Linked DNA regions of Struthio camelus. The protein of the gene in region 2 purifies or fractionates together with the protein of the main gene of each other region. This does not show direct contact. Links are inferred from orthologs where the notes say so. Each region holds a gene or a part of one and is shown on either strand. Other genes may lie near its edges.

Region 1 (11,026 bases), on a different chromosome or scaffold from region 2:
ATCCGTTTATTTTCTCAAGGTAATAGGACACACACTATTAAAAGGAGATGCAGGTTTCTATACATGGTGTTGTGCATACTTACAGTGTAAACAACAGACTCGCATCCAACCTTAATCTGGAACATGGCTGCTCCTAGCACATGGCCCGCATAGTACGCCTTGATCTCCAACTCCTCATCCACCTGCATGAACAGGCAAATAGTGCAGTAGTGCACACATTTTAAAAAGATAAAATTGCTCCGCCTTCCACAGCAATCCAGTTGGTGTGACTGAAGACTATGCAGCAACGGTCGTTTACCTGAACCGTCTGGTGAAGGTGAACAGCAACAACTTTTTTCATGCAGTCTTTAATCATTTGGGACGTGAAGAAGTTAGTTTCCCCTTTCTTATCTACAGTGATTTTCCTATAGTCCTCCAGGAGGATGGGACAGATGGCTTTGGTAGGATGTGTCATGTAAATAGGCCCATCATAGCCGACCATTTCACTGAAGTACGGCAAAGCTCCACAATGGTCCAAATGAAAATGACTGCAAAAAAGACAGAAAAAATGAAGATGTTGCACAGGAATTTAGCCGGAGGTCTTTGGCGCTTGCCTGGTTCTCAAATCTCGTTTCAGGCTTTTAAAAGCACTGCACAACACAGAGGAACTTAAGAACCAACCAAAATACGAACGATCGACCTGAAACTTGTTTGGGTTACTAGTTTTAGCATCGCACAGGGAAAGAACAGCATAGAAAGCGTTCCTGTTTTCCATTTGAGCTGTAACAAGGAAGTAGTTTTCTCACCTGATGATCACGCAATCTAGGAAGTCAGTCAGCCTTCCGTTCTGAGTGATGTAAGAAAAATCCGGAAAGCGCCTCTGCAAAACATAAAAAAGCAGGTTATCTATTACTAAACAAAGCCAGTTAATGCTAAATTATTAATCCAGCAGAACAATGGCATGAACTGTCCACAACACTGGGAACACTGTGTAATCCATCTCAAGGCAAAATTGCAGTAGGTCAGCAGACTGGGCTGGTGTCAGCAATATGGTAAGAGCTGTACATGACACTGTTAAGGCTTATGTGCAGATAGAGTCAAAGAGAAAAAAGGGGGGAGGACCGTCAGGGGAGAGTCAGAGAACCTGATCTTGCAAACAAGTAAATTACAGCCAAGTTTATCTTCAAAGCAAAATAGGTGACCAACGCATTTGAGCTCACCCACAGGCATTAAGGCAAAAAGCCTCAAAATCTTTTCTGAAAAGGCACGTTTGCTCTCTGTCGTGCCTTGAATCTTTCTACTTGTGCAAAATATTTTTGCATTTATGCCTTTCTTACCTGTATCGGGTAACCAAATACCAGGAGTATTATCTAGCTCTACCTCTGAGGCATCAGCAAAGCTTCCATACAGCATGTCTTGGTGTGGATCCCACAAGTAATTAATCGCTCAAGAACAAGCCTCCTCACAGGAGCTATCTAACTAACGGTGGGATTAACGCTTTAAAGTATAGAAGATGCCTGCCCATATGAGGTGCAGCAACAACAAAAACAAGTGGGAATGGGGCATTCACAGCTTGCTTAATATTTTTTCAGAGGCTACGACCCAGGGAGAGGGAAAGAGGATGGCCGGATGGTAGAACTTCACAGATTGGAAATACCTGAGGGGTAGCTCTTGCACAGGAAGACAAGATTTTGGAAGGGAAATACTAGTTCAATCTCGGCAGTAACCCTTCTCCAGCAGTGGCCGATACAGATGCCCAATAGTGCACACCCAGCTAATAGCACCCATGTGCCATGCCAGATGGGTCAGGCAACATTCAAATGAAGGTGAATAGGCCAGGACGATGAACAAGGAGCTCTGCTAGGAAAGGCCAGGCAGATATGCCTTAAAAGCATCTCCATTCAACATTCAGGTTTCCCCACCATACTCACATCATCATTGTAGCCCATGTGCATCCCGCAGTCAAGCATTACGTTCTTCCCTGCGATGGACACTAGGATGCAGCTGCGCCCCACATCCTGGCCAGCCCCTGGACCCAAACAAAAGGAAGACAAGCAAGGCATCTCTAGCAATACTTGCAGTCACTTCAAAAGAGAAGCACTGAAAGATCTCTACAAACTTCAATCTCTAGCCCTAGCTCCCTTCCAGGGCAGGAGAAGGCCACATCCTTTCTTCCAAGCAAGTGGATCCGTTAGAGGGAAGCAGATGTGAGCTCACTTATCCCATTCCCTAAGCTTATGAGAGGGCCTTCCAGCTCCAGTCGCACAACTGCACTTACTACAGCACCGAGTCCAAGCCCATAAGCGGTTCAGATGCAGGGTACATTTGTTTTCTGCCCGGTACTGTGCAAGAGCAGCAACATAGTTTCAAAGCAGTTTTAGGTAAGAGCAAAATAATCTCTTAACTACCTGAAAATATCCAAATTGACCTATTTCTTCTGAGCTACGGGAAATGACTAGCCCAACGGCAGTGTCAATCGCATGAAGCCCAAAGTTCCCAGGGTTGTGCCCCACCACAAATACTCTGCCTCTCAGTGAAAGCACAGATTTCCCTAATGCACCAGGAAGTCTGTTCCAAGCTAGAAAATGACTGACTAGGATAGAGCAGTTTTCCTGCTTGGAACATCCACTGCCCTCTCAGCACTTAAATGCCTGTCAACAGCTTCTGTGCAACTCCCAAAATAATGAAAAATTGCTTCCTATGGATCTCCAGCTCCATCGAGTTTACTAATACTCTATCCATGCTGTACAATACTACAATAAATAACAGAAGACCTCTACAGTACTAGATATGATCTACAAGCCCTTCACCAATATCTGTTAGTGAATCTTTTCATTTAAGAATAGAGTTTGCAGGCTCTATTTGAGTGGCACTTGTTTGAACAGCAAAAGGAGGACAACGACACCCCTATGTTGCACAGATGTAACATACTCAAGTATACAACTGTGACCAGTTTTTGTGGCAGGGAAAAGTACATGCATCTCCAGCGGTCTAAAACACGTTATTACTAACTCCAAATTTCAACTCCAGTTTCGCTTGTTTCTTTTCAAGGAAATCACAGCATACAAAGTTTTTCAGCATGTCTATTTCAGGACCATTTTAGGTTTGGACTTACCCAAGGGAGTGACTTTTATTTCAGGCATTTTCATAAACTCTAGAACTTCAAGCAATACGATAAATTATCTCAGAGATACTCTGATGACAGCCATAAAGTCAAGAAAAGATTTAGCCTTTAGTCACAGCATTGCATTTGTTTTTCAGTATCAGACAGAAGACTTCAGCTGAGGCCTCCCCTTCTTCCTAGAGGGAAGACAGACAGACAACAGAAGTCAGATAAACACACACATTATTAGCTTCTCCTAGAAATTCACATATGTTTGGCTTCACTAGTAATAGTCACGCTTTCTTATGCTCCCTGAAAGCGCACATCAATTTCTTTCTGTTCAGATCACCTTTAATCATCAGATCATCTCAGCATCAGAAGCCTGGCACCACTTGCGCCTTGGAGACAGCCAACCCTAAGGCTTTTCACGCGCGCGACGCCCATCAGCAGGCCGCTGTGAGGAAAGGGCTCCCGCCCCCGCGACGGGCGGCCAGCCCTCAGGCGGCCGTTGCTCCCTCGCGCCGCCGAACGCCCTCCCGAAGCAACCTCGGTTTTGCGAGGCGACACCTCCTGAAACCACCTCGGCGAGCGAGCCGGCCGGCCGGCCTCCCGCTCCCCAACACCGCCGCCCGCCCGCCCGCCCTGCGGCCCGTAGCACACCTACGCCTGCCGCCGCCAGGCGACCCGAATAGGGCCCGCCGCGCCGCGCGCGCGCACACTCGCCCCGCGCACCCCTTCCCCGCCCCGCCCCAACGGCTCTCACCGCCCCGCCGTCCCTGCTCCGCGACGCCTCCGCGGCAACCCGCCCTTCCCCGACCCGGCGGAGGAAGGGGACGTAACGCCGCTCGCGCTTTGGCCAATAGCGCGCCGCGAGGCGCCCCACCGCCCCGCCCTCCTTCCTGCGCGGGGATTGGTCGCGCGGCGAGTGACGCGCTACCCGGCGCCGGGGCGATGGCGGGCCAGCAGGGCGTCTTCTGCCTCAGGGAGGTCCTCGTCGCCTTCCAGACGTGCGTCACGGAGCGGCGGGAGGTGCTGCTCGGCCCCTACCTGCGCGGATGGAGGGGGCTCATCCGGTGAGTGACCGCGGGCGCCGCTGCCCGGCCAGGGTGCCCGCCCGGCCGCCGCTAACGCGAGCCGGTCTCTCCCGCACGCAGGTTCCTGAACAGCCTGGGCGCCATCTTCTCCTTTGTTTCCAAGGACGCGCTGGCCAAAATACAGATCATGGAGAACTACTGCAGCGGCGAGCAGCAGCAGAAGTACCTGACGCTCCAGTCCATGGTGCAGTACGAGGTGGCCAACGGGCTGGTAGATACCCAGAAGCGGTCGGGGCACCCTGACTCCGGCTGCCGGACGGTGCTGCGCCTCCACAGAGCCCTGCGCTGGCTGCAGTTGTTCCTGGAGGGGCTGAGAACTGGTCAGGAAGACTCCAAGACATCAGTGATCTGCACGGACTCTTACAACGCTTCTCTGGCTAACTATCACCCCTGGATTATTCGCAAGGCTGCCACTGTGGCCTTCCATGCTTTACCTTCTCGAAATGCATTCCTTGAAATCATGAATGTGGGCACCCCTGAGGAGGCTGTCGTTATGCTGGGTGATGCCTTACCACATATCTGCAATGTCTATGGGATCACTGAGGAGCTCTATGCCCAACATAAGCTGCTTGATCTCCCTTGATGCGATGGATGTTAAACAGCAACTCCGCATCCTGACAGAAGTGGAAGGTGTGAAAACTATGTTTTCATACATACACAAACTATGGCACTCTTCCTTTCCTTTTCCAGTAGAGAGATAGCAAGCAAACTGGCAAAGCTATTCAGGATGCCTCACTTCGTAAGAAAAAAAAAAATGCACGCATGCACATATGCATCTGCCTCAGCTCTACAGGAAGAAAGAAGTCTAATAGCTTGCTTAAATGGATTTCTTTCCTCCCTTCTCCTGGATTCACCTTCAAAACTCTAGCTAGGTTTTGTGGAGGTTGGCTGGTTTCATTTTTTAAGCCAAACTGAACACCTTTAGCAACTTCTCTGTATTTACACCAATAGTTAGGATCTCATATGACTAAAATTTATGCATTAAAATTCAAGTTCTAACTTCCTGATATGATATTCTAAACATGCTGACACTACATGTCAGCTCACTTTGCCACTTTGTTTACAAGCCGTTCCCCTGAATAGGGCTGACCTTTGCTCTCTCTTATACTTTAACCTTGAAAACAGAATCCAGAATAAGGTGTCTCTGAAAAAAAGCTCTTTTCTTGGTGGTCACAGACTCACCCGATGATGGCTGCTAATTCTGTGCCACCTAGTTTTAAAGATGGAAATGTTGTTGCCTTTTGTTGCAATGAGATACTGTTCTTCCTTTGCGCATGGCGCCATTAAGCAGGAATGTTCTTTTCTGTGGAGCTTCCCCTGCTCGTTATTTTTGTATATGCTTTATGCTTCATGGGAATCAGAGCAATTTTTAGTATGTACTACACAATACTATATATCCAGATAAGGCTCCAAATTCTACTTGTTCTGTTTTCAAGCTGTGCTTCTAAACTGTGTTTTATCATGTTTTGGGGTTTTTTTTTTTCGTTTTGTTTGTTTGTTTGTTTGTCTTTACGACTGTCATATGCATACAGAAATGACATCTCTGGGGAGAAACCTGAATTTGGGCTGTAAGGCACGACCTTGTGAAGCTTACGGCTTCTATTTCAAATCAGTTACGGTGTTTCATGCACAGAAGTCACTTTATTTTTATATATGTGTGTGAAGTGTCTAAAATATGTGAACTAGGTAAAATGAAGTTTACTTAGCTTTTTAAAAGCAGAAGAAACATTAGAAAGACATGAATACTTGAACACTTGGGAGAGGAGGGAGCACCCCACAAATTTAGTCACGTATTTTGGCTGTATCTCTCAAATAGGAGGCACTTGGACTACTTCAACACTGTATGATTCACAAAATCACCATTACTTCATGGGATTAGTCTAACTGGTCATTAAACTGCTTGAGCAACTTGCCTCTGAAGAGCATCCTTTACAGGAATGCTTTATTTTTTGTGGTGTTGGAAGAAACAAAGTGTTCTTATATTCATATCCTGTCCTTCACTAGCAGCGTCTGATTAATTTACGTAGTGATCAGATATGAAACCAATCATGAGAAAAAACGCAGATGAAATTATAAGCTGCTGACTGAGCCCCTATTCTGACTACTCACATCTGTCAACGATGTTTTTTTGCCTGAAGAAAGGAAAATTAGTTTCCTTGCACATCCTAAGTGGAGGTTTTCTTGCTATACTGTGAAAACAAAAATATCATTCCCTTTCTGCTAAGACCACCTTAAAAAAATAACATAATTCCTTAGGATAAGTCCATATATTAAAATGGAGCAGTTCCATGTTACAAACTACAACATATCTCTTCCTGTCCAATACAGATACAGTTGGTATTTCATCTGTGTGGGGTAGTAAATGCCACAATATGACTGAAGTTTCTTTAAACTATGTCACAGTGTTCTGTGCCAAGTGAAGATAAGTTGTCTCTCTCTCTCTCGTGGGTTTAATGCAGAAATGGTAGTGTTACCACGTGGAAAAATTATTTTTTCTCCCTTGTCACATTCATTCTCAGCTGTTGGTCTTATGAGATAAATATTAATGCTGAAAGTGAACTTGATTTTTCCAATTAAAGAATCAAACTTTCTCAGTAGGGGAAAAACGTGTTGGAATTTTTTGGATAGCCAGTCTGTGCAAAGTATGCTTCAAGTAAAATACACCATTTTCCACTGATTTTCATGCTCTCATCTAAAAAAGGTATTTCTTAGTGACACTTATTTTCTTGGCGCGGTGCCCTATCTCCAAACAATGGGAACTTTTTAACAGCTTCAGTTAGTTACTACTCAGTAAAACTAAGGTCCTGCACTTGGCTTCGAGTCTGGCTGCTTTCATTAACGGGGCTAAATCCAAAAGTAAACCTTCACTGATAGTGACCGCTGTACTTAAAAACTGCAATAACATACAGATTCACTAGAGGGAGCTTGAATATTTTGCACAAAAGTCCATCACTTAAACTGTCTCCTATCCCAATAAAGTGTACTTTATTTCACTTGAAAGAATGAATGGGAGTAAACAGGTGCCTGTGTGCAACTCTTGCATCACTCACACACCTTTTTTTTTTTTTTTCCCTCCAGTCAGCCAAATTTGTATTTAGAGATTTTTTAAAGGAATTCTATAATTAAAGCTAACACTTAAATATTCCATTAAGGAGTGAGGGAAAATTGCAAAGGTGTCCTTAAAAGGATGTAGATAGAAACATATCTATATGTAATGTAGGCATGGAAATCTACAACTGTTGCTTGCCTGAAGCATGCATACATATACTTAGCTTTCTACAATGAGACTGCTTCTGTAAGATACTTGGAGAAATAGTCTGGCCTTGTAGCAAAAAAGGCATATCTTGCTTTGGCTGTACAAGGAAGTTCTATGATACAGTCTAAATATGTAATAAGCCAATAAAATGCGATAAATTAAACTTTCCAATTCAGATCTGTCCTGTTAACTATAATCCAAACCTGACAGAAAAACATAAACCACAACACAACTTAAATTACTTTGGTGTAGAACTGACCTGAGTAATTAAATTGAAGTTAACATCACAGGTCAGTATGAGAAAAATCTAGATTGGCCAAAAACCCTTACTAAAATAGCAATATAGCTCACCTAGCTCTTGCAGTGTAAAAATGGTCTGCTCCAGACAAGTTCCTGTGATGCTCTGAGGAAGATTTGGAAGTCTCTGCGATGAGGTGACCTTGAACTAACCAAAAAAAAAAAAAAACCATCAAAAAAACATAAAACTGCTGCATAAGACTCTTACCTTATAGTTTGGGCAACTCAACATACTATTCCAAGATTCATTTAAAAATAAACTAGGTAACATTGTCTCAGTACAGGTCACCTCTAAGTAGGGAAGAGGGTTTTCTTTCTTGCTATGACGTGAAAACCATTGAGAGATGCAGCAGGTGGCACTTCAAGGAGAAAATTAGTGGATGAAAAGGCTCAGAGAAGAATCAGGAAGCTGGAGAATAAATTTTGTACCATGGGAGGAACTTGAAACATTGTAGAGGTATAATATGTCCCAATGAGGATGAATAGTCGAGACTAAGCAAGAGCATCTGTAACTAGAGAGAAACACACAATATGTCCCTAGAGAAGAAAGCTCTCTCAGGGGCACCCTGTCCCAAGAGAACGGCAGCATTTAATGTCTTGACATTCTAGCAATAATTATTTTATATTTCTCCTGCTGCTATTTCATCTCCACTGTTCTCAAAGTTAATCCATATTGTCAGAAGGGACAGGATAAAGGAGAGAATGTTGAATAGTTTATTTAGAGAGGCTGTACTTTAAACAAGCGTTTAGGGATCAATCTTCTGGCTAAAATGAGATGTGAGGGGGAGGAAGGGAAGAAACCTCATGTTTCTCTAGCATCACACAGGACCCTGTATGAGGATAACTGCTTTCCAGGATCTCCTGGGACCAATGTTAGGAAGATAGAAAAAGGCCTGTGAAAGTGTTTTTTTATTCTTTGTGATCTTTTTAAGCATTTGTCTAAAATAGCTTTGAGAACAAACATCCAGCCACAGCTTGTTCTAGGCTTCTGGAAAGCCCTGGGTAACACTTCTGGCTCCAAAGAAGCAAATGGGTTGCCCCAAAGCAATTGTAACCCCCTGCCCCACCACCTCCATGGAGGACACAAACAGCCATGCCATGAGGGCATAGATCCAAGCAGAGTTTGGCTGGAATTTCTGTGTGGTGTCACTTTTCAGACCAAAGGATCAGTCCTGCCAGTCCATTGCAAGGCACAGCTGTGGTGCCACAAGAAGCCTCCTCCAGCAGCACAAAGGGGCTGCTCAGAGCCGGAGAAGAAATGAGGCTGCACAGAGACACAAGCACAGGCCCATATGAGAGCACAAACACACATGTATGCACATAAACACACATCTGCACGTACAAAAACAGACACGATGCACACAATAGACACATTTACAACATACTCAAGAGATACACACACAGAACATGCTCATAACAATGCACACACGACAAACAGGGCACACACAGATGCATACTCACAAGGAGTCACACACACACACACACACACACACACACACACACACACACACACACAAAAGATGCTTATAGGGACGAACCACCCATGCAAAAAGCCTTTCTATCAAACCAACAAACCAACCAACCAAAACAAAATCCATCCACGCTCTCTCTTTCTTGAGTAGAATAATGGCAGACAGGACCCACTGTACAGTAAGAAATTTCAGAAAAAGTAAGAACCTTAGGTAGACACTATCACACGCTGAAACAGCTTAAATTTATCGCAGCAATAGCAGTTCATTCCTCAGAAGGGACAAGAATCATCATTTAAAAGAGCCTAATGGTACTGTGTGAAAAAGCAGTAGCTAGTGAGGAAGCAGATATACAAATGTGCAATACCTGCTAATTGCAAGGTAACATGGGATGTAATAATTAGGCATAGGCAAACGGCAAGATTGGTTCACTTGGAGTTTCTAAGCAGTTTCATTATACACTGTGTGAAGTGCATCAATTTCGCAGCAACTCCCCCTGGGCCTGCAACTCTTTGTCTGCCTTTGTAGCTACCATTTATCATGGAACAAGTCATCACGTTTGCCACTTACATGCAGAATTATTACCTAGTTATTTGTGAGCTTTTAGAAACAGAAACCCAGAAATCCAACCATACCTAAACATATACAGCTGTGTTCCCTGCTGATCAGTAAAAGGAAGCGGCAGGCCTGAATTCTGTTTTTTTTTTTTTTTTTTTTTTTTTTTTTAAACTAAAGACAAATGCTGTCTCTCCTGCAGAGGTTAGTGGATTGGTTGAGGACTGTTTATCATGAGAGCAAGCCTATTTCATTTATTAATGACATCCAAAGAGATCTCTCTTCCCCAAGGCCTACAGGCAAAATATAAGCTAGGAGAAAACCTTAATGTGACTTGATATGCACACAGGGAAAATGCTTACTTCAGCCAGATGAGCTCAACAAGCTCCCCCAGCTGGGGTAAGATATTTTATAAGGGTATAAACAAGGCCGATTACCCACAACCCCTTCTACCTCCTGCACATGGTTCAACTGAGGCCTGCATGTAGTAAGTCCTTGCACAATGGAGGGACACAAGAATGCTCCCTGTGAGACTTCCACCAGTACAAGTTCCAGTCTGCAAACAATGGCCTTTACTCTCCACCTAAGGCGTGTATGGAGTTCAAGTACGTCATGTAATTTCTGAAATGGCACATGAAGTAGGGTGAGAAGCAATGCAACATCTTCAATCCCCATCTAATCTCCTACCCACATACAAGAAGGGATCTGCGCCCTCATAGGTGCTCCACTTGTTTTCCTATTCTTAGGAAGCGGGAAACGTCTCTCCCTGTCTTTGCCAAGGATAAATTCAATGATCTGTGGAGGGCCATATTAAGAGCTAACTGCTGTTACTCTGAGTTGGCACACCAATCTTTCTGGCCAGGTACATAATGTCTTCTAGCCAGGAGTGTTCCAGGTTTCAGAAGGGATCATGCTTACAATAGGTGGACCCTGAAGAATCTCCCTGGCTCTTGCTGGGAAGGAGTCATCACAGGAACTGAAGATCCATCCCTTAGCACAGTACAACTCCCATAATGTCCAAAGGAGAGAGGTAGGCTGTATGTAAGCAAACCCATTTACTGAGGAGAGCTAAGCTGGTACAATAAATGGGTACATTGTGCTAGAAAGTCGCTTTCCCTAGATCAAATAATACCCAGAAAGAAGAATAAGAGAACCCAGAAATCTTGAGTCCTACCCCGATCTTCCCAGTTCTGTGCTCCATCTTTGATAAACGCATATTCTGACAGGGCACTCCTGATGTAGACAGTTAGAAAACATCCTTTCCTACAGCCCT
Region 2 (10,627 bases):
GCTACGTTTTTCATGCTTTCTATTTCAGTGGAAATAACAGTTTCAGGAACGCATCTATTGTTTGTTCTGTCAACCATAACAAACTGCGTTTGTTTGCCTCATTCATAAAAATATTCAGTCAAATTGTGTCTACAAATGTTTTGCTGAACAAGCCAAAACTGGAAGATTCACCAGTGTATTACAAGAAAATGGAAAATTTGCTAGTAAAAGGCTTGTTTTTTCAGAGTACCCAAAGCAATGGAGAAGCTGACCTGGGGAAAACATAATAAAAATGACAATTAACTAAGTGCAAACTGGGCTAATGAAGTGCAATGTTTTGTGTGATATAATAGTGAGCTTAGTGAAATTAACGTGCCTAAATTGTTTTCTTACTAAACACATCTAGCTCCTGTGTGCTTTTCTATTAAGGTTTTTATAAAGATACAGAAAGTGAAAAGGACCACTACTTCTAGGTAACACAAAAAGTTGACATCTTAGCTGAAGGTTCATTCTTCTGCTATCATAATCAGCACAAAGCACAGCATATGCAAAAGATCGGTAGCTACTATTGGACTTAAGCAATATAATACAAAATTTATCTAACTGAAAGTTCTGTAGAAATTAATGGGATAGTCACCTTAAAAACATATACCCTTTTCAAAAACTTAACAAGTTCACCTCAAGTATGTGAAAATATTTTCCTCTAGTCAGCTTTACTGCTTCTCTGGGTACTTTTTAATTGACAAAAATCTTCACAGAAATGTGGCTCTAAATAACCCTTGACAAGATAAAGGGTTTATACAGACTATAGCATTAATATGAGAAGCAGCTGATGAAAAATCTTCCAGGTTCTTGATAATCTAAATGTGTTGACAATGTCACTTTAAGATCTGAATGTGAGATACTGTGGTCAGCTAATACAGCTGTACACTTGGTAACCCAATCATCATGAGCAACTGACTCAGTACTTACTTACTGAAAAAGTAATATGATAAACAGAAAAACTCATATTAAAGGTGTGCACATTAATGTTGCAAGAAAATATGAAGCTGGAGCTTTTCCTCAATTTCAGAATGACCATTCAGCCATCACTCTTGATCAGGAAGTCAGCTGATGGAGAACTCTGGTCTACTTCAAAAGAAATCAAGTGCAGTGAGTCACGCTGCCATTTAAACAAACACTTCAACGTTAGCAGGGGGACATGACATCGTGTTGTTAGATGGCATAACCAGACAATCTCACCAACTTTATGTCATATGTATGTATACTAAAAATCTGATTTACAATTCATATATGAGAAACAAAAGTGGATCTCAGCAAATATTTTAGAAGCCTGTCAATCCATCAAAAATAAGCATGTTAGCAAAAAGATGTTAAGCCAGAGAATTTATTAAGCTTTTTTTTTAAAAGCTTAATAAATGTGTATTTTTATTACTTCACACAATACCACATCCAAGATCATCTGAATATGGTGCTTTTGTAGAACTATATTCTCCTCCCATTCTAAGATAATTACTCTTTAAACACCTCTGCTGTATTTTAGTTAAGTGCTAACTTAATGCTATGGTATTAATTTTTTTTTTTTTTAACTCCTTAAAAACAAGTGAATCAGTACTTTATGTTCAGGGTGAAAACTATTTCAAATATAACTGAGTGTTCTGACTACTTCTATTATCCCGAATTCTTAAGGTTTCTCATGGCATGTATGGGTAAATACCCACTGAAGTAAAAGTAAGTAACATCAACAACGACAGGTTGATAAAGCTTATTGCTCAAAGGCCAATGTGAACTTGAGGAAAGTTAACTGCACCAAAACTCATCCCGCAAGCGCTGAGGGACCAGTTAAGTGCTCCTAAATTTAGTCTGATTTATGAAAACCTGCAAATTTGATTAGTAGGGCCAGAACAGGAACCAGAGACTTCAGCAGCAGATGATCTGGTACTTGCCATAAATCCATCTGTTAATCAGGACTAAAAAAGGTTAGCATATAGTCACCTGACTGCACATTTGAACACCTCTTCAACGGTCTGTTCCACATGTGGAACAGAGCAACTAAAACACATAAGCCAGGGTGGGTTCAAGCCCTGAGAGAGCCTGGTAAACAAAACAAACCAGACAAAGAAAAAGCCACTGCTATACAGACAAGAGCGGCTATTTGCAGTAATGAACACTAACCAGTCAAAACAGTCATGACGTGAACTGAGCTGAGCACAACTGGCTCACTTGATTAGAATTTTAACATCATCCATACCAGTGGTAAAGGGAAAGTATTTAACGCGTGTGCCTTGATTTTTATGTAAAGTTACAGCTTTGTATAGTTCATGTAACTGAACCAAAAAAGATGGAAAGCAGAAGATATTAGCACACAGACGTATAAGAGGAGAGCAATGGGAACAGAGAGGAAAAAAAAGCAACGTGTAGAAGTAGCACTTTTTTTTTTTTTTAAAGTTTCATCACTAAACTGGCATTTTAAAAATGTTTAGGCTCACTTGATCACCTAGTGGCAAAGTCATACAATGCAACATGAGAGAGATGAATTTCCTTCCCAAACAAATATGGCATGTTATCACAGAGACTGTGCTCAGACTTGGAGGGAGGGGACTTATTTTCACAATCACATACCCATGTTAACTATCAAGTGGAGTAACTAATCCACAGACAGGAGAGCAACATTTTGCATGAGAGCAACAAATGAAATGGGGAGATTCAAGTTAGTATGTTTTCTGTGAAAAACGCACAATATACTTGCCTGATACTAATCATGTCCATTATGATGCAAAACAAATCCAGGTTTGATCCAGTGCCAGATACAACTGTGAATGCTTCCTAAAGCATATGTTCAATGTAAAGTTACTGGCTTATGGCAACTCACACTACTGACCAAAAGAATGTTGGAATACCCCAAAAGATGTCCTGCTTTAAAGTGACAGGCATTAGAAAAGCACATCACAGGCATTAGAAAAGCACAGCTCCAAGGCTCTGATACAGCAGGGAGTTTTATAAAATACAGGTGTTCAGAGAAAGTAGTAACTCACTAGAAAGAAATGACTTTGAAAAAGACATGCTCTACTCAGTATTTCTGAAACATGCTGTGCCTTTCAAAAAGTAGCTCATTTCTCAGAGTGTACTTTATAATTACTTGTAATTGATTATGCAGCACTGTATATGCAAGGAAAAGTTTTCAAATCCCATCAGGCTTATCAGCTAAGGTTCTGAAGCATAAAATTTGTTATGAAAAAAAAGACAAAGTTTAACTGAAAGGTCAACTTGAAGGCTAAGCTGGCGTTTAAGAATTGAAGAATAACTGAAATAAGAAAGGAAAGTCGGATTAAAAAAAAACAAAAAACAGTGAACTACCACATTTCCTCAAGCTACCTGAGCTCTGTTTTTCTTTTGAAGAAGCCCCACATTCAGTATTTCATGAAGATGCCATTTTGGACAACTAGTTAACTGCTGTCCCTGGAAAGTTTGTCTTTTATGATTTTTCCCCCTATTAATAGTCAACCTACCTGCCCATAGTTGTCTATGCCAGTTACTAATCTATTTAAATTTAATAAATCAAAAGCTGTCCTTAGGGACTGGCCAAGAGTCGTAAGTCCTTCAGCTTGAAGGTTTTTGAGTTCATTCATAAACGTTGCATGGTTTTCTTTCCATCCAGCCTGAAAAGAGAAACGTGAGAAGACGTATCCTTCAGACAGGAGCTGTGCACAGGATAACGCTTTCCTCTGGGGCTACAGAGCAGCGCTTTCCCCTCCGCACACAGCAAATGACAAGGGCTACCCAAACGCCTGGCGAGCGAGCAATATTTTAGCGGTTGCTCCCTCAGGCTGGCGAGCGCGTCGTCGTGGAGGAGAAAAGGAAAAAAAAAAACCAAAAAAAAACACACAAAAAAATCGTAGCAGCCCACCCCTGCCAGCCGTATTTTGGATTCTCTCCGCAGGACGAAATCTCGGTGAGGTCATCCATGCCCAACTCTTTCTTGCAGCTCTTCAAACTACGGCAGCTCGGCTCTTCGCCGGCTGCGCGGCGCTCTCCGGCGGCCGTGCTCGCCCCGCCGCCCGGCCCCCCGCCGGGCACGGGCCGCGACGGGCAGGCGGGCGGCCTCCCTTCCCCTCCCCTTCCCCTTCCCGACCCCCCCCACCCCGGGCCCAACTCTCGGCGGAGTTGCTGTCACTTCTCCCAACTCGAATAAATATCCCCCACAGTTCATTGCTGCTCGCGCACCGCACGGGGGGGGGGGGGGGGGATGTCGGCCATGTTGATGTCAGCGCTGCCGCCGCCGCCGGAGCCCGAGCGTGCGTGTGCGCCCAGGCGCGGCGGGCGGCGCCGGCCGCGGGGGCCGCACGGGGCGGGGGAACGGGGTGGGGGGGGCGGTATGTGTGTGGGGAGGTGGGGGGGAGGGTTAACGGGGGTTACCTTGATAGCGTAAGGAGGCTCCTCGAAAGTGACCAGCATGTACCTGTCGCCCCTGCTGGCCGGGTCGCGGGCACGGAGCTGCGGGGGTGGCGGACAAAGCGAGAGGGTGAACGCGGAGGTAGCGGCGCCGGGGCGGCCCCCGCCTTGGAGCCCCCCGGCCCGGCCCGGAGCGGTGCGGCCCGGCCCTCCCTGCCCGCACACACACGCACTGCCGCCCGGCCGGCCGGCCGCCCTCGCCCCGCGCCCCCGGCCCCGGCGGCCCCCCGCGCCCTGCCTCCCCCTCCCCTTCCCCGCGCAGTCACTCTCGCTCTCTCTCGCCTCCTCTCGCAAGGCAGAGCCGGTACCTTCATGAAAGTCTCTACAGCGCCTTTGGCTATGTCCAGATAGGTGGTGCCCAGATGGGTGCGCTGGTTCATGGAGGCGGACGTGTCTATCAGGAAGAGTAAGATGGGCATAGTGCGGAGGGGCCGGCGGCCGGGCGGCTACATGGACAGAGGGCGGGGGGCTGAGGGGGGACCACGGGGCGGGGTGGGAGGAAAAGGGGAAGAAGAGGAGGAGGAGGAGGAGGAGAAGAAGAAGAAGACGGGGTTGGGGGGGACAGGAGAGGAGTAAGTGGCTGTGAGTGCTCTGCACGGGGAAGGGCGCCTCCCCGCTGCCCCTCGCCCAAGGAGGGGGGGAAGGGGGGCAGCCCTGCCTGCCCTGCCCTCCTTTGTGTGAGGGGCCTGCTCAGCCCAACACAGGCTGGTTTATGAGGGAGAGGCGGATAGGGCTGCGCTGCTGCTAACCTTCCCCCCCCCCCCCCCGCCTTCCACCTTCCTCCACCGCCGCCCGCCCTCCCCTCCCCCTGTTGATGTTACTCAGAAGTTTCAGGCGGAGCAGCCGCAGCCCCACCACCCCGGCACTTTCTCTCTCTGACTGAGGCGCTTCCTCGCTCGCCGCCCGCTTTTAAGGCAGCCTGGGCAGGTCGGGGCCCGCCCCCGAAAGACACGTCCCCACGCCACGTGACCGCCTCCCGGCCCCGCCATAGGGCACCGGGCAGCTCCCTCATTAGCATATTCAAATCAGCGGGAGGAGGGGCGGCCGGAGCCGCGGAGGGAGAAGGCGGCGGGGGCGCGCGCGCGCCTCGGCGCTGCCGCCGCGCACGCGCGCTGCCGTGCCCGGCGAGCGGGGTGGGGTGAGGTGGGGGGGGCGGAAGGGGTGACACAGCCCTGTGCAGGGAGGGGCGCAGCTCCTCGGAAAACGGTCGGGGCGGGAAGGGGGGAGAAACGACTGAAATGAAACCCGGGGCGGTGGGAAGGAAAAGGAGAAGGGTGGCGGCACATGGACGGGGGAAGACCGCCTCGCCCGGCGGGCTCGGAGGCGACGCGCCCCGGCTGAGCCGCCTGGCTCGGGGCGCGGCGGCGGTTGCCCGCGGTAGTAACGGACCCGAACCCGCCCCTTGACTGGGGCCGGCCGCCAGGCTGGGCCGGGGCGGGGATGAAGAGGGCGGGGGAGGCCCCGGGGAGAGCGCGGGCCGCCGGCGGCTCGACTCGGCCGGGAGCGGGCGGGTGAGTCACGGGGGAGGGGGCGGTGCCGCCGCCCCCCGCCCGGCGCCCGCCGCGGCTTCTCCTTGAGGCTGCAGGAAGGTCTTGCGGGGGGCCTGGCGGCGTGGGGAGCCCCCCCCCCCCCGGCCTTCCTCCGGAAGGAGGAAGAGGAGGGAGGGGGACTCCCCCGTCGGGGGCGGGGGTAGTCGCCCCCCGCCCCGGCCGGCTGCCCTCGGCCCTGCCTTGGGGCGTTTCTTTACTTCCCCCGTCACCCGCTTCAGGCGTGGTGAAGGATTGTTCCTTCCAAGGTTAGTGGGGTGGGGGTCCTCTAAACTGTGCCGATGCCAAAACTGCCCCTTCCGTGAGGGGGGAAGGCCGGAAAAGCCGAGGTCCGAAATGCCCCCGCCTTGGGGGCCGGGGTGGGCGGCGGGGGGGGGCCCTTCCTCGGGGGGAGCTGGCGCTTGGGGGCCCGGCACGCAGTGCCTGCCCAGTCCACGACATGCCGTGGCTGTAGGGTGCAGGTGACCGTTTAAATGGTACCTTCTCAGGGACCTGCACTGGCTTTTCACTCGATGTCAGGAGGAGGGAAAAATAAATAAATAAACGTTGGCTAGCCCTAGCAGTGGCCCTTTCCCCTACATACAGACGGAGATTAACGCTAATGTTTCTTTGATCTGTGGCAGGGCGCTCCACATTCACTCCCGATCAATCACATAATCGGGGAGTGTTTCCAACGATGAAGATCTCTGCTCTTGGTTGTTGTTTTGGGGTTTTTCTTTCCCCAGCAATTGTGTCTCTGTTTATGCTCTCCTACCTTGGAGCGCTAACTCTGAAGTCGTTTCTTAGCATAATCACTTCAGGAGATGCCTCTGCTTCCTATCTGACTTGATATTTTTCCCCAGCTCGAGCTGATGTGTTCTCCCAGTCACTGCTCTAGCAGGTTTAAAGCCACTGTGCTCCTTCCTTCTCTTTAAAATACGAAAATATCAGCAGTGTTCTGGTTTGATTCATCCTGCTTTTCCAGGCAAGATTTCTGTCTTGTTCGACAAGAGCTGTTTTTGGCGTTTTGTTTTGTTTTGTTTTTTTAAGATTAATGAAAGATTAACATTCAGTTTCTAGGAAGGCTGGAGAGGGATAGGAATCATACTTCCATTATAGCTTTGTATGCATTCTTATGCCAGGGAGCAGATTATTTTGGCTTTCTTGTCGGCGCTGTATCTGTGACCTGAGGCATTGGGGTGAAGTGAGGGATGCTTCCTTTCAGTTCAGTTATCCATTTAAGGCCACTAAGGAGTCTCCAGTGTGAAGGGCTCCACAGGAGCAAGGAAAGAGTCTTGATCTTTGGAGTCTGTGCAGACAAAATATGGTAACTGGGTTGGCAAATAAGTAACATCTCTTGCTATGAGTATTTCTCAGTGTGGATCTTGCTGGCAGTGAGAGAGTGGCCAAGCTTGTGTGTACTCGCTGGCTCTTGAGCAGCTTGCATCTTTCCAGCAGTTCAATTTTAGAGCTCCAACAGTGGTGGTGTGTCTTGTGACCAGCAGCAAGGCTGTTCTGGTCCAGGTTCTACCGGTTAATCTGAATCCCTGCTGTCAGAGGAAGTGAACCAGCGGGTGCTGCTGAGGCTGGATTGCTGGGTTGCCCTGGAGTCTAGCTGCATGCCTAGCCCCATTGTGCAGTAAAACGTTCGGACTGTTGGAGAAACGTGGTTCACAGTTATCTTCTGTCTGCCAATCTGTATTGGAGCACCTTGCTTCCCCTCGGCCCTCCACGGAAAGTGGCATGTATCTTCTGGCTCTCAGGTATGCCACTCCTAAGGTCAACAAGGCTGGCTGCTGCAGGACCAGTAATCATCTCCCAAAAGTGGTGGGATTCAGGTTGTTAAGTGAAGGCTATAATGCTGCTTTAACAAATCGTGCCTTGGGATTAGTAGCTTCATTTGGGAGTAATGTTGGGTAAGTGTGTGTTGTCAGCCTCTAATTGGCTTCCCTTTAAATCTCTGAGATAGGCACATTCTTCAGACATGCCATCTTTTCTTCTATTTTTATTTCACTGATGTTTCATTGACCACCCAAATAAAAATAATAAATAAAAATAATGTCACTCTTAAGTGCCAAGCCTTATGCATTTTCTCGAGGAGCGTTGTAAAAATGGGAAACTTCTGGAACGCACCCTTCTCCAGAGGTAGGGGGAGGGGAAAAAAAAGTAAAGGCATTTTATAGCACTGCCACACCAGGAAAATGTCATTGTGAAAGGCAGCCTGAGACATGGAGACTTTGCATAAATCCTGGAAGGTCGTTTGGAATTTCTGATTTTTCTTTTTATTACCAGTAAGTGAAGAGAGAGAGGGGAAAAGACATTAACTCTTAGTGGTAGAATCAGTCATAACCTACCGTGAATTCTGAATCAGCATGACAATTGCAAGCTGTAGGCACACTGTAATTTTCTCTTACCAACACGAGAGGAAGGTGGGACTGAAGCAGCTGGACCTACTCTATCCCTAGTTCCCTTGGACCCAATGATTACCACTGATAAAAGAATCTCGTGCACGAAACTTGTATGCAGTTCCAATGGGACCTCTACCAGCAAAAACACTTTGTGAATTCTATATGTACTTTTTTGCCATTATCTTTGAAGTAATTTGGAACATTTGGTCCTTCCTGCTCCTGTGCATGTCATATGAGACCCATATTAGATCCCCTATAGGGCAGAATGAAGGTTAGTTTTGTGTTGCCTGTGGTAGGCATTAGTACTTTCCTACTGGGAGCTGGCCAATTTGATTAATGTTGAGAAAGATTCTTTTTAAGAAAAGATAATCAACCCAAGTCTTAAAGTGCCTGTCGGCCTCTTGATGTGAGAGTCTTAATGGGTAGTACTGCCATCAGAGTCACATTTATAAATCTGTACAAGGGATTTGCTATGAAGGAACAAAACCTAGTGATATTAGTGCTTATGCTCATTACTGGTAGAGCTGACACAGGTGAGCAGGGAGAGAGCTTGCGACTATCCCTGTGAAAACAGATGTATCTTTCTGTGGTTTCAGCTTTTTTACATGGTAGGTAAATTTATACCCCATGTATAGTGTAAATGAGACAGTTCTATGTTTTCTCTTAAATCTGGATGAATGGTCTCAGCTAGCTCTGTCTGAAGGAATACTTTTGCTGTAGTGATAATGCATAAGATTATCAGTTTAGACTTAAGGTGTAGAAATTATTCATTTTCCAGCTTGTTTCATACACAGATTTTGTTTCTATTATTTTTCATACATCCGTGAGGGATTATGAAAACACGTGCATGTCTAAGAATACTCATTTTCTCACCTTCAGAGAGGCCACTGTCTGTTAGACAATAACTATTAAAAATGCAAATTTGGCTTTAACTTCCAATGAATTTGAAAATGTATATTGAAAAAATCATTTGAAAAATATTTTGATATCATTTACTATTACTGAGTTTTTCCTTAAACTTTTTTGTTTCCCAATTGATACTCGTGCAATCATCTTTTTCTATATCATCATTTATTGTTAGCGTTATTTTGTCCTAAATAACAGGCTTGAATGGAAGATGTTATGTTAAAAACCTTCAAGTGGATCTTGGAACTAGAATTGGCAATATAACTTTGTTTTTTCTTTTTTTGGCTGGCCTTTCTCTTCCTCAATACAGAACTGTTTCGTGAAGATTATTTCAAGATCTTTGTCAGCCCAAGTTTAATGGCGCAGAGTAAGTTTTTCATAGCTTCCTTTAGAAGGCCCTTTCATAGCCTAGTAGATTGTCACTACTCAGACTTTTTTTCCCCATATAAAGATCTTAAATTTTCTATTGCTTAATTTTATTTATTGTTCATCATCAAAGTATATGTCCTTGAAGAGCACTCTGAGTCTCAATTTATTATCTTTTAATGCTTGTATCCTAATCCTTTTAGTGAGGTGCTGTGCATTCCCTTTATTTGCTTTCTTTATAAATAAAATGTTATTTTCCACTTATCTTGCATTCATAGCAGTTTATATTGTTGGGCTTCTTGGTTGTTATTCCACTAGTTTCAGTTCAGTGGTTTTTAAGCCTACTTCTCCCCACCCCCCGAAGTATTACCAAAGAGAAACTCACTCCTCCTTACAATTCAAGGTAGCTTAGGAAAACATACAATATCCAGCCTAGAATGAGTAATTACTGAGAAGGCTCAGTTAAGCTGAGATGCAAACCCAAAAATTTTTCTAGAAAAGCACAAGTTGATTTTCAGACTTGGAAAAAATGTATTTTTTTTCTTTTAGTGTCAGTGGAAATCATAGGAACTTTCTACCTACAGAACAAAAGCAGTGACAATTCTTTTTTCCTAATTCCTACATTATTACACAACCCTTTCCCCGCTCCTTGTTCAGTTTTTCAAAATATTAGGAAGGCTTTGAGGGGAAGTACAACTGAGATGACATTAAGATAACTGGATCTCGAGTTTTTATGTATGTTCTAGGACTTTGATTGAAAATGTCTATTTTTTTTTTTTAAACTTGCAGAGCCAGTTGCCTGCTTTTGAAACCTTTTAGAAGTCTGCACTTTGGCTTTCCCAACACTAGAACGCAGTGAAACTACATCACTTTGCAGAACGATGACCTCTAAAAGAAGTTGCGTTCCGGCTTCTCTTGGCCCATCTTCAAAGACAGTCTCATTTTCATTATTCTTAGATTGGGAAACCCAGAGGATCGCCTTTGAAGCTT

What was found. Proteins that work in one complex are often made in the same cells at the same time.
Region 1: the proteins of INTS6 (region 2) and INTS11 purify together in Homo sapiens (affinity purification with mass spectrometry; 3 studies listed by BioGRID, with this or other methods). This does not show direct contact. The link is inferred for Struthio camelus from reciprocal best matches to the Homo sapiens genes INTS6 and INTS11.

What each region holds. Positions count from the first base shown.
Region 1 is NC_090962.1:3,815,535-3,826,560, reverse strand, and holds the start of INTS11 (integrator complex subunit 11), read right to left. Parts: upstream 4,157-11,026; 5' UTR 4,156-4,156; coding exon of another isoform or gene 4,034-4,155; 5' UTR 4,020-4,033; intron 3,984-4,019; exon of another isoform or gene 3,846-3,983; intron 3,834-3,845; exon of another isoform or gene 3,432-3,833; intron 3,280-3,431; 5' UTR 3,129-3,279; coding exon 3,095-3,128; intron 2,009-3,094; coding exon 1,911-2,008; intron 860-1,910; coding exon 786-859; intron 528-785; coding exon 299-527; intron 183-298; coding exon 84-182; intron 1-83. Other genes in the region: CPTP (ceramide-1-phosphate transfer protein), read left to right, coding at 4,034-4,155, 4,237-4,759.
Region 2 is NC_090942.1:193,677,009-193,687,635, forward strand, and holds the start of INTS6 (integrator complex subunit 6), read right to left. Parts: upstream 5,324-10,627; 5' UTR 5,253-5,323; exon of another isoform or gene 4,901-5,252; 5' UTR 4,851-4,900; coding exon 4,740-4,850; intron 4,474-4,739; coding exon 4,396-4,473; intron 3,639-4,395; coding exon 3,489-3,638; intron 1-3,488. UniProt on the Homo sapiens protein: Component of the integrator complex, a multiprotein complex that terminates RNA polymerase II (Pol II) transcription in the promoter-proximal region of genes.